Linked DNA regions of Neurospora crassa OR74A. The protein of the gene in region 1 interacts with the protein of each later gene in a pairwise test. Links are inferred from orthologs where the notes say so. Each region holds a gene or a part of one and is shown on either strand. Other genes may lie near its edges.

What was found.
Region 2: the proteins of NCU07011 (region 1) and NCU01022 interact in binary tests that used the Saccharomyces cerevisiae proteins (3 or more experiments, as listed by UniProt). The link is inferred for Neurospora crassa OR74A from reciprocal best matches to the Saccharomyces cerevisiae genes UTP21 and UTP25.
Region 3: the proteins of NCU07011 (region 1) and NCU08323 interact in binary tests that used the Saccharomyces cerevisiae proteins (3 or more experiments, as listed by UniProt). The link is inferred for Neurospora crassa OR74A from reciprocal best matches to the Saccharomyces cerevisiae genes UTP21 and ENP1.

The regions. Positions count from the first base shown.
Region 1 is NC_026504.1:4,898,668-4,902,610, forward strand, and holds the start of NCU07011 (WD repeat containing protein 36), read left to right. Parts: upstream 1-1,143; 5' UTR 1,144-1,207; coding exon 1,208-1,345; intron 1,346-1,407; coding exon 1,408-3,943. UniProt on the Saccharomyces cerevisiae protein: Involved in nucleolar processing of pre-18S ribosomal RNA and ribosome assembly.
Region 2 is NC_026505.1:2,700,885-2,705,121, forward strand, and holds NCU01022 (DUF1253 domain-containing protein), read left to right. Parts: upstream 1-1,437; 5' UTR 1,438-1,637; coding exon 1,638-1,879; intron 1,880-1,939; coding exon 1,940-2,656; intron 2,657-2,721; coding exon 2,722-4,018; 3' UTR 4,019-4,133; downstream 4,134-4,237. Other genes in the region: NCU01021 (eukaryotic translation initiation factor 3 subunit EifCf), read right to left, coding at 1-459, 695-802. UniProt on the Saccharomyces cerevisiae protein: DEAD-box RNA helicase-like protein required for pre-18S rRNA processing, specifically at sites A0, A1, and A2.
Region 3 is NC_026504.1:2,401,710-2,405,899, forward strand, and holds NCU08323 (bystin), read left to right. Parts: upstream 1-1,462; 5' UTR 1,463-1,626; coding exon 1,627-2,246; intron 2,247-2,307; coding exon 2,308-2,436; intron 2,437-2,499; coding exon 2,500-2,672; intron 2,673-2,740; coding exon 2,741-2,959; intron 2,960-3,013; coding exon 3,014-3,154; intron 3,155-3,230; coding exon 3,231-3,391; 3' UTR 3,392-3,690; downstream 3,691-4,190. Other genes in the region: NCU08324 (DNA-binding protein HGH1), read right to left, coding at 1-607, 681-794, 863-1,012, 1,083-1,103; NCU16789 (hypothetical protein), read left to right, coding at 3,834-3,909. UniProt on the Saccharomyces cerevisiae protein: Required for normal export of the pre-40S particles from the nucleus to the cytoplasm.

The DNA.
Region 1 (3,943 bases):
AGGGAAAGGCGGCATGTGGGCAATTTCCATAAACGGACCCGGTAGTACCTACTAGTCCCAATTCTGAACGTCTACGTGTAAGTGCATCTGGATCCCACCATTAGTTCATTCCCTTACACCGGAGTTTTGGTAGCTCATGGCAGAAAGGCTGGCACTTTCTCGGGTACTACATGGCCATCAACCGAATGAATGGTCGTTAGAATACACTTTTCATGCTACCTTTGGAAACTAGACTAACTCTCAGGCAATTTTGCATGGAGAAATTCCCAGGTAACTCTGGCTGATGTCTTTTCGACTTTTTTTTTTACCATCCCTCTCGAAATTCTGTGATGGCCTTTCCTGACTAAAGCGAGCCGTGTTGGACTGTCTAATTCGGTTATATTTACAGCCACTTCGTCGTCATAACTGGAGGTCCAGTCTCTTTCGTCATTGGCGTGCTTGGATAGACACAGGAAAAAAAAAACCTCTCTAGTGATCGACAATGATGGACACCAAAGAGCCCATTGCGCGTTGACTACTGGTACCAGAAGGTGGGTGTCATGCCAAACTAAACCCTTGCTGGCGCCCTATGATATACTGCGATAGCCGCAGAGAAAATCCAGAAGAACGCTGAAGGTGGGTGTCATTGCGAACCGTATGCCGTGGTACCTCTATGGGTGGACGACCTGAGGTGGGTTCGATGGACGGGATGATGACGCCGCAGGCAACCTAGCATTTCGACGCTGAAGCGGACAGGGGATGGTGATGCTGTGCTGTGCTGTGCTGTGCTGTGTTTCACAAGCAAGAGCTTTTTCGCCCAGTTGGCGGGGCAGATGGAGGTGTGGGGTTTACTGCAGTTTGGAACACAGTCTCGACTTCTGCGATGATGGGAAACGGTAATCCCGGTAACTGAAAGGCTGCAAAATGCGGCCGGGATCGCAGGAGGTTCCTACTATGCAGTACACAGATACACAGTGCTGGATTTAAGCTCTGTGGGTCCTAGCCAGACGGTGGTCCCACATGCGTCCAGCTTTCATGCTACCCCACATGGCGAGGCAGACCAATCACATGAAGCTCCCACTTGCCTGCCCCAACCGACCCCAAACTGTGGCTGAAAATTTCTGGTCCACCGCGACAAGGCTACTATTATCGAAATCTTCAAACTGCGACTTTCAACAAGGCTTTGCAACTGAAAGGCATTCGCAGACATCGTGGTAGTTGGCAGCATATGCCACTCGACGACATGATGCCGCATTCCGATCGCGAAATCACATCCGCCAAGCGGCAGAAGCTCAATGCCTCTGTCGTCAAGTCCAAGGCGCCTCAGAAGAAGAAGAAGGGTTCCTCCATCTTTGCTCCCTTCAGAGTACGTCCCTAATAGCCGGTCGCATGAAGTCCTCAAACTAACACCAAACTCACCACTCATAGACTGTAGGCTTGGTATCTCCAACAAGCGTCCCCTTTACCTCCATCCCTCTCGGCAAGACCACCTTCCAGATCACTACCTCGGTCGGCCGCTCCCTCCAGACCTATGACCTAAAGAGAGGTCTCAATCTCGTCTTCGTTACCCGCCCCCAGACTCCCGCCGACATTACCGCCACATATGCTTGGAAGGAAAAGGTATTCGCCGCTTGGGGTAACCCTCAAAATGGCGAGGCCCAAGGTATCTGGGTTTATCAGCGCGGAAAGAAGGTAGCCGAGCTTGAGCTGCCCGCCGACCTCAACCAGCCCATCAAGCAGATCCTCATCTTCGGTTCCTGGATTGTTGCATGCGCCCAAACCCGCCTCGAAGTATGGAAGTCGGCCACCCTCGAACACTACACGACCATCTTTTCCGTTGCCGCAAAGAAGGGCGACAACGAGCTCACTGGTGGCGTAGTCAACATGCCTACCTTCCTCAACAAGATCTTGGTCGGTCGCAAGGACGGTTGGGTAGAGATCTGGAACGTCAGCACCGGCAAGCTCATCTACACCATCCTTCCGCCCTCTCCCGACGCTGGATCTGTCACCTGTATGGAGCCTACCCCGGCACTTTCGCTTCTCGCCATCGCCTACTCGAACGGCCCTCTCGTCATCCACAACGTCCTTACCGACAAGGCCTCCCTCAAGTTGATGGCCGGATCCGAACACGCCCCCGTTACAAGCATCTCCTTCCGAACCGACGGTCAGGGTGCTGGTCAAGATGGTACAAAAGATGGCGTCATGGCTACCGCCACAAGCATTGGTGGAGATGTCACATTCTGGGATCTCAACAAGGGCGGCAGAGTGATGGGTGTACTCCGGAGCGCCCATAATCCCCCATCACACACCGACAAGACTGTGCGCGGAGGCATCAGCAAGGTTGAGTTCCTCCCAGGACAGCCCGTTATCATGACCAGTGGTTTGGACAACTCGCTCAAGTCCTGGATCTTCGACGAATCGCCCTTCTCGCCCGTCCCCCGTATCCTTCACATGCGCAGCGGCCATGCCGCCCCCGTCAACTGCCTGCAATTCTTGCCAACCGATTTCGATGGCGCCGAGGCCGGCAACAAGTGGCTTCTCAGTGGTGGCAAGGACAGGAGTCTGTGGGGCTGGAGTTTGCGCCGCGATGGCCAGAGCTCTGAGCTCAGTCAGGGTGCTCTTCGCAAAAAGGCCAAGAAGGTGGGTATTCTTGCTAATACCGCCCTCGGCGGCCACGGCCCGACTACATCTTTGGACGACCTCAAGGCTCCCGAAATCACATGCATCGCCTCCTCGCTCAACCGCGATGGCGGCATGGGCGCTATGCCCGGTAGGCAGGTCATCTGGGACAAGGGCAATGACAAGAGCAAGCCGACCAAGTCCGAGCTCGCTGCTATGACCGGCTGGGAAAGCGTAGTAACAGCTCATAAGAACGACCCCTGGGCTCGCACCTGGTTCTGGGGCCGCAAGCGTGCTGGTAGGTGGGCGTTCAAGACCGGAGATGGCGAAAATGTTTCTACCGTGGCTATCAGCCCTTGCGGCAGTTTCGCTCTTGTTGGCTCCGTTGGTGGTAGCTTAGACATGTTCAACCTCCAATCCGGCCGTCACAAGCAACGCTTCCCCTCCCGACTCACTCCCGCCCAGATGCGCCAGTTGAAGATGCAGCAACTTAAGGCTCTCGACAAGGTGAGCCAGCTCGAGAAGCGCGCCTCCTCCAAGACCTCCTTTGCCCCCGGCTCGGGCAAGCACACCAAGTCCGTAACCGGCATCGTGGTCGACCCGCTAAACCGCTTCGTGATTTCCTGCTCTCTCGACGGCACCGTCAAGTTCTGGGACTTTGTCACGGGCAACCTAGTCGACGAGATTGACTGGGCGCCCATGGTGCAGATCACGGGCTGTCGCTACCACGCCGGCAACGATCTCATCGCTTTCGCGTGCGACGACAATTCGATCCGCGTTGTCGACATCGAGACCAAGCAGACCATCAGAGAGTTCTGGGGCTGCCGCGACACCATTAACGACTTCACCTTCTCCAACGACGGCCGGTGGATCGTGGCCGCCTCGCAGGACCGCGTCGTCCGCGTCTGGGACCTGCCGACGGCTCACCTCATCGACGCCTTCCGGCTCGAGAAACCCTGCACCGCCATCGCCTTTTCCAACACGGGCGAATACCTCGCCGGCGCCACCGAGGGCGAGCTGGGCGTGCACATCTGGACCAACAGAACGCTGTTCAGACACGTGCCGACCAGACAAATATCCGAGAAAGACATTGCCGAAATCTCGGCCGGACCTACCAGCTCAGGCGAGGGCGGTCAAGGTCTCATCGAGGCGGCCTTTGAGGATGAACAGGAGGACGAAGAAGATGAGGGCGTGTCTGCGCCGGTCCTCGATCAGCTCAGCGCCGACATGGTGACGCTCAGTCTGGTGCCCAAAAGCAGGTGGCAGACGCTGCTGCACATTGACCTGATCAAGCAGCGCAACAAGCCCAAGGAGCCGCCCAAGGCGCCTGAGAAGGCGCCCTTCT
Region 2 (4,237 bases), on another chromosome or scaffold:
GAGCTTGTGGGGTACCTCGATGAAGAGGCACGACTCGGCGGCGCGCTCGGGGCTGACGGCCACAGGAGCGGAGATGTACGTCTTGGTGTCGATGGTCGCGCCAGCCTCGGTGCCGATGGTCAGGTGGACGGCCGGGTGGGGGAAGGTGCCGGTCTCGGGGGAGGCGAAGAAGTTCTGGATCAGGGCGCTGAAGCTGTTGAGCTCGTGCGAGGTGGTGTACCAACCCAGCAGGGTCTCGCGGGGGTTGGCCTTGAGCGTCAGGGCCAACATGTTCTTCTGGTACTCGACGTCCACCTCAACCTGGTCCTCGTTCTCGGTGTGGGGGATGGCGAAGGTGGAGCGGACTTCGACCTCGCTGCCGTCCTCGCTGCGGACACCCACGAGGGCACCAATCACCCGTGTCGACTGGGTGTCGCGGTCGTCACGTCTGACGGCATGGTCGATGATGGAGAAGACAGCCTATTTGGTGAGGAAAGCGAAGGGCTACATGTCAGCTAGGTGTTGTATGGTCTTGGGCAATGGTAGTGGTGGTAGTGGCGGTGGTGACGGCGGGGTAGCAGAGAGGATATAGGTAGGTAGGTAGGTAGGTAAGCTTGACATGCGCAAAGGGGGACATCAAGGTAGGGGACTAGGTAGATAGGAGTGGAGGGGCAGATATAGGACTGTAGTATGGAAATTGGTGCTGTTGACGTACCTGAGGCTGGATGTTGACGGTAAGCGGGGCATTGCTGACACCGAAGCCAAGCACATTGGGCGCAAGGGGGCGCGAGAGATGGACGAAAGACTCCTGATCGACAGCCATTTTGACGACGGGCTGGGCTGTAGTTGAGTGAGAGATGGTGGAGGGGTGGTGTGGTGGTTGATAGAGGAAGCAGGACGGGAGTTCGAGGAGGAGGGGAGGAGCCGTCGAGGTTGAGATTATGGGGCTCTTTGAAAATGTAGACAGCAGACGCTGTTTTCGGGTTCGGGGTGAGAGAGAGGCTAGCGGTTGGCCGGGGGGTGGGGTGGGCTTGCGCTGGTGAAGAGTGGGCACGGGCTGGGCACTGGCAGAAAGAGAAGTCACTTTTTACGGTTGTACACTACACTTTTTTTCACTGCCGAGAATGGGTGTCAAATGTCAATGGCACTCCAGTGTGAGGGTAGGTCTCGGTGGCAGCCCGGCCATCGAGTTGGGTCCGTCACTGTTCACAGGCAGTCACTAACTTCCATTCTCTCGCCCTAGACCGGGAGGTACTCCATCCAGCTTTCGCAAAATATGGGGACCAGTAGGCGGTACCTCTGCTCGAATTTTTGGTTTTGCAGCGCAATGCGGGACCTTTGGGTGTTGTGCGCGCTAAGATAAGATAAGCCGGTCTCCACACTTCCATGTTCAGCTTGGCGGACTTGAGATTGTTCTTTCTTCAGTTCGCAAGGGTCAAGGGGGAGGGGTGGCGTTACAAGGCTGCTCTTTGCCAAGCCCTTCCTTCAAGATTCCATTGGACTTTTGGACTTTTTCTTCTTGGCTCGTTGACAAGGCTGAATACAATTTCCGTATCGTTTTTTTCACCTTTGTTGAATCTGATTTCACACATCAATCACCAATTGTCATATCACCAACCTCACATCTCATAATTTGAGAAAACTCTTACCGCATCAAAATGGCAATTCGAGGTCGCGGTGGTGACCGTGGAGGAGGAGGAAGAGGAGGAGGAGGTCGTGGAAGAGGTGGTGCAGGAGGTTTCAGAGGCAGAGGAGGATCCAGGGGAGGGGGCTCCAGAGGAGGCGCCAGAGGAGCTTCGAGAGGGCGCGGCAGGGGAAGTTCGAGGGGTGGTGCCAGAGGAGGTTTCGGCCCTCGCTCATCCAAGTTCAACGACGCCCGACTTGCCGACAAGGACGAAGAGTAAGAAAATTTCAACACTCAAGGGCAGAAAAGAACTGGAAAGCATACTGACTGAAACAGGGAAGATGAGGAAGAGGACATCTCTGAAGAGGAATCCAATGTTTCTGAGGATGAGATTGAGGAATCAGAAGAGGAGGATGAGGAGGAGGATGCCCAGTCTGGTCAGCCATACATGAGTCTTCTGAAGAGCTTCCAGAGTGCAACCAAGACGAAAAAGAGGAAGTTGGATCACCCGGAGGAGGAAGGTCCGAACAAAGTTACCAAGACGAAAGACGACGATAACAGCGACGACGAAGACAATGAGAAGGTGACGGAGGACGTGGATGCAGTTGACGAGCCAGAGGAAGATCCCCAGGATGCACCATTAGAGGACCTGTTCGACGAAGATGACGACCTCGACGACTCAGACCCCTTCGAAACTCACTTTACTGCCCCAGACGAGGCGACATTTCAGGCTAGGATAAAGGCTATTCAGGCGAACAAGTGGAGGACCGACAGGATAGCAAAAAACTCCAACAGGATATACTACAACACCCCAGAGACAGGCGACTCAGCTGAGCAGAAACTTCCCCATTCCATTTCTGGAGTTGGCGATCTTAAGCTCAAGCAACGATTAGCCGAATCGATGGCTAAGCACACCGAGTTCGACGAAGCTGAGAAGGCAGTAGCACCTCTTCTCTTCAACTATCAAGACATGCTTTACTGCAACCGGTCAGTGGCATCGTCTGAGAGCATAAGGCGGATGGCGTGTCTGCATGCGCTCAACCATGTTTTCAAGTAAGTCTGATGGGAACACGAAAAAAAAAAGAGTAAACAGAGAGCTGACTTTGATACCTACTCAGGACTCGTGACCGTGTAATCAAGAACAACACCAAGTTGCAAAGAGACGACACCCTTGAGCTTAGAGACCAGGGCTTTACCCGCCCCAAGGTCTTGATGATTCTCCCTACCCGCCAGTCATGCGTCAAAATGGTCGAAATGATCTGCAAGGTCGCCGCTCCTGAGCAACAAGAAAACCGCAAGCGTTTCGACGATGGCTATGTCGACAAGTCCACCAAGTTCTCTGACGACAAACCCGAAGACTTCCGCGACCTCTTCGCCGGCAACGACGACGACATGTTCCGCCTCGGTATGAAGTTCACTCGCAAGACCATCAAGTACTTCTCGCAGTTCTACAACTCGGACATCATCTTTGCCTCCCCTCTCGGTCTGCGCATGGCCATCGGTTCCGAGGAAGAGAAGAAGAAGCTCGACTACGACTTCCTCTCGTCCATCGAGCTCGTCATTGTCGACCAGGCCGACGCCCTGCTCATGCAGAACTGGGAGCACGTCGAGTTCATCTTTGAGCACCTCAACCTCCAGCCCCGCGACGCCCACGGCTGCGACTTCTCCCGCGTGCGCTCCTGGTACCTCGACGACCAAGCCAAGTACTTCCGGCAGACGGTGATTTTCAGCGCCTTCAACACGCCCGAGCTGGCCGAGTTGCAGCGTCTTTACTGCCACAACTGGGCAGGCAAAGCCCGGCTGCAAGCCGAATACCCAGGCGTGATCCAGTACCTGGGCGTCAAGACGCGCCAGACCTTTAGCCGGTTCGATGCGGCCTCCATTGCTGCCGACCCGGACGCCCGCTTCGCCTACTTCACCAAGGCCATCGTGCCGACGCTGGTCAAGCGGGCCGCCAAGGACGCGGCGGGAACGCTCATCTTCATCCCCTCGTACCTCGACTTTGTGCGGGTGCGCAACTACTTTGCCAATAACCCGGCCGTCGAGAGCGTCACGTTCGGCAACATCTCCGAGTACGCCGACACACCCGAAGCGTCGCGCGCGCGCTCGCATTTCCTGACGGGCCGCCACCGCGTGCTGCTGTACACGGAGCGCGCCCACCACTTTAGGCGGTACGCCATCAAGGGCGTCAAGCGCGTCATCTTTTATGGCTTGCCGGATAACCCCATCTTCTACAGGGAGATTGCGGGCGGGTACCTGCAGAAGAGCGAGCAGGCGCTGATGCTAGAGCACGGGCAGGGGCACGTCAAGGTCATGTTCAGCAAGTATGATATTATGAAGCTGGAGAGGATCGTGGGGACCAAGAGGGCGGGCAAGATGATTACGGAGCAGGGCGATACTTTTGATTTTGTGTAAAAAGGTCCAGTCAGTCGTATGGTATGTATGTATAAAGGCGTCGGATAATCAAAACTGCCAAGGGGATTGGGTTTACATAATGGATTGAAAAAGTTGGTTGCATAGTTGTTAAAATAGAATACCTACTACTGCTGTACGTACCTAGTGAGCAATAAGACAACATCCTGAAAGTCACCAGTCTATGGAACGGGGCATATGGTTTGCCAGTCTCCCAAGTCC
Region 3 (4,190 bases), about 2.5 Mb from region 1:
TCATCAAATCGCGGCCAGCTCTCGTTGTGGTGAGGAGAGTAAGAGTTTCTAGGTGTGTCAGGATGTTGCTGCTGTCGGGATCGCGCTGCTTGTCTGGAGGCAATAGCTGAAGATCGGTAAGCATTTCCAATGCCTCATCCTCGGGATAAACTTCGCCGCCCATGATAGGAAGTAAAATGTAGGGTAAGATATTGACGTCATCCTCATCCAAAAACGCCGGGTGCGAAGGAATGTCAAAAGCAGCGTTCTTGATAATGCTCGCCACTCCCTTTCGCCTGATATCGGACTTGTGTTCGGTAAAGACCTTGATCTTGTTGATTGGAATAACATCGTCGTAGTCCTGTCTGTTGACAAAGTAGTGCCGGATCTCTTCATGTTTCGAAAGGTCGGCAAAGACGTAGGAGAGGTAGTCGTAATCGGCGTGCTTGTTGTAAGTCCCGTCGGCGCCCTTGACGAAGAGGTCCATTAGTTGGTTAATGACCCTATCGTCGGACTTGAGCTTCTCTGGAGCGGGCTGTTTCCGGTCTAGAAGACTTTTGAGTCCATCCCACTTGGTCAAGTTTGCCAGCAACATAGCCATAAGATTGGCGTTAACCTCCTCGGGCTCCTATAGGAACGGGATCGAAGCGGTTAGTCCTTGCTGCGCACGCACCGTAGGAGCTCAGAATGGATACACATACGACAAGAAGCCCGAGGAGGATTCCAAGGAAGCGATCATCGGTCGCGACGTATTCCAGCACATCCTTCTCGGCAGTCAAGTTGATCAAGCATGTTAGGGCGTGCTCGGCGATTTTCTGCACATGGTACCGACGTCTTAGCTGAAGCTGCTTGGGCGCAAACAAGACAAGTCTGTTGGGCCTACCGGGTGGTCGCGGATCAAGAACTTGAGATGCTTGATGGGGGTGAGCTCGTCGGTCTTGAAGAGGGCGGGCTGAGACGCTGAGAAGGGCACCAGGTTCTCTGTCGCGAGAAGGCGGATGTTGGCGTTCGGCGAGGCAATGAAGCCCACGAGCTTCAGGCGATTATAGCGATTAGTTGTCTGTCCACTGACATTGACACTGCACTGGTTCTGGCAGAATTACCTCTTCAAGTTCGGTCGGCATGTTATCAATGGTAGCTGGATGTATGGTTGTATTGGACTTGCTATAAGCTCGTAACCGTGGCGAGCGAGGCTATGATGTCGCGACTTCCCTTGCTCTTATTCATGCAGTGGGCCAAGCTGCAAAAACTGTAAACACAGGGAACAAAATTCCAGGAATTTGCAACCGAAGAGGGGCACAGTGACGAAAATGCGGGGCAATAAAATGTTTATCGCTGCTCCGCCGGGCGCGTCCAAGCTAGACGATAAGCGATAAGAGGTATTGTACCGCTTATCATTTTCACCGCCCTGGCATCAGAAAATAAAGTGTGCCCACACAGCAAAGAAGTGACCAACCACAAGCGTAGCGCAAGCCTTTCAAGTGCCCAGACTTCTCCACGGCGGGAACAAATTGTCCAAGGGTCGCCGAAAAAAATATCCCCAATTGCCGTGTGCAGCCAAGTCGACATCGCAAAGAGAGGGGACAACCAGGAGAGCTCCGTATCATCAACTCTTCCCCCGATTGCACAACCCTACCGCCATTCAAGATGCCCAAGACAACAGCGGCGACGTCGAAGAGGCGCCACAACCCCCTCGAGGCCGACCTCGTTTCTACCGGCGTCCTTAAGAACAACTCCGGCAAAAAGAGCAAGAACACTCGCGCCGCCAACGACGAAGATGAGCAAAAGTATGTCGACGCCAAGGCTTCGCGCAACATTTTGGCTATGAGCCGTAGCCTCATCGAGGAGGAGGAGAACCTCCGGACAACACAAAACGCAGCCTCCGGATCTGCTCCTTCGGCGTTCGAGTTCGATCCATCGAGATTCGACCGCAACGATGACGAAGACGACAAGTTTGAGAACGACGAGGCCTGGGGCGAGGAAGAGGAGGAGGAGGTAGAGGAAATCGAAGTCGACGCCACCGATCTCGAGACATTCAACCAGTTTATCACACCCACAATGAACGAGGACCCGCTCCTAACACACGGATGGGATGGAAAGCCAGAAGGGGCAGAAGAGCAGGGTCAGAGCGTGAACCTGGCGGACCTTATTCTTGCCAAGATCGCAGAGAAGGAAGCCGGCGGCCCCCAAGGCGGGTACCGCGACGAGCCTGGCCCAATTGATGAGGATTACGAGATCCCCCCAAAGGTGATGGAAGTGTTTGAGAAGTAGGCTGGCCGTTATTTCTGTTACCCTCTTGGCAGACTACTGACAGACTCCTTCTCGCAGAATTGGCATGATTCTTTCTCGCTACAAATCTGGGCCGCTTCCCAAGCCTTTCAAGGTCCTTCCTCAGATCCCCCACTGGGAGGACATCTTGCCCATTACACAACCCGAGTCCTGGACTCCCAATGCCTGGTATGGTTGCTTCTTCCTGTTTTCGGGAGCCAGAGAAACGCTGCTGACATTTGCGATTGTTAGCTACGCGGCCACCAGGATATTTGCGTCCGCCAAGGAGGCTGTTCTTCAACGGTTTATGGAGATGGTGATCTTAGAACGCGTCCGCGAGGACATTCACGAGACCAAGAAGCTCAATGTCCATCTTTTCAACTCCCTAAAAAAGGCCCTCTACAAGCCTGGTGGTTTCTTCAAAGGTGTGTTATTTACTGCCTACGCTTAGTCAGGTTTGCTCAAAAGGGACAACCCAGCTAACCGTTGGCAGGCTTCTTGTTTCCTTTGGCGGCTTCCGGAACGTGCTCGCTGCGTGAGGCGCAGATCGTAGCCGGTGTTTTGACCCGGGTCACCATTCCGGCTGTTCATTCCGGTATGGCCATTAAGGGCTTGTGCGAAATTTCTTCTGCGCAGGCTTCTCAGCGCCTCGACTGCGTTAGCGCTACGAATTTCCTCCTCAAGACTCTGATTGAGAAACGTCACGCCTTGCGTAAGTCCAATTCCTAGCGTGCCAATGATTGTATTCTCTGACTTTGTAATACAGCCTTCCAAGCGCTCGATGCCCTCGTCTTCCACTTTCTTCGGTATCCCGCTTTCGCCACCGGCGGGCATATGGCACCCAACGCTTTACCAGTCATCTTCCATCAGTGCATGCTCTCATTTGCACAGAGATACAAGACGAACAGTGAGTTTGCTTCTTCCGTCGCTGTTTCACTATGCGTCCCTATTATTTTTGAGTACTAACCGCGGTCTTTGTGTAGTTACTGAGGACCAGCGAGAGGCTCTCCTGGATCTTCTCCTAACTCACGGCCATGACAAGATTTCGCCCGAGATCAGGCGAGAACTTCTCGCAGGTCGCGGAGGTGGTGTCCCTGTCGCGCAACCCGGATTTGATGGCGATGACACGATGCTGGACGCTTGAAGAAACATCGGTGATCCGGTAATGACTTATAGACGATGAACCCTTGGTATGCAACGAGGACATGTGGCTCATTTTTACCTGGTACGCGCATAGAGATGGGAGTCGTGTTGTTTAGTGACCTTGGTGGCTTGGGGCAGTCCTTAGACATTGACCCCTTTGATAATACTATGTCACGCCTCGACAGTGGCTACTACTCATCACGCCGCTTGAAGAGGAAGTGGTCATGCCAAGTCAGTCACCATGTACTACCCTTTGTATCTTAGTGGTGCTGACCAACCAGCAACATAATTGTTGACGACCTGTAATGCTTTAGTGCACGAAATTATAAATTCAAGATACCCGGTACAGCAACAGGAATTGTCGAGGAGCCTTGGAATAATCATTTTCAGTTATGTGAAGGAAGCTGCCTTTTGACTTCTTTGTTGCGTCAATCTGGCTTGGAATGCCCTTCTCCCATTTTTCCAAGTCCAAGGCAACCGCGATCCTCTGCCACGTTGTCGGAATCCTGAGAGAACAGTGTAAAGGGAAAGAAGGCAATGTAGCTCTCGCCTACTTCGATATCTCGTGTATCTGATGGCATCATCCCGTATTAGGTGCTTTTACCATACGAGTTTCTAGTGTTCTCTTCCTAACACCCGGTCAACCCGAACATTCTAAGCACTCCGCCCCTCTCGTTTCCCTATTTATTCTTGAGATTGCTTTCTTACCCCGAGACACCAAGTTCTACTCAGTATTTCCGCAAGATCAGGATTTTCGGCGCTGCTTTCTGGCGTTTCGCCTAAGAATCCCGACACCACCT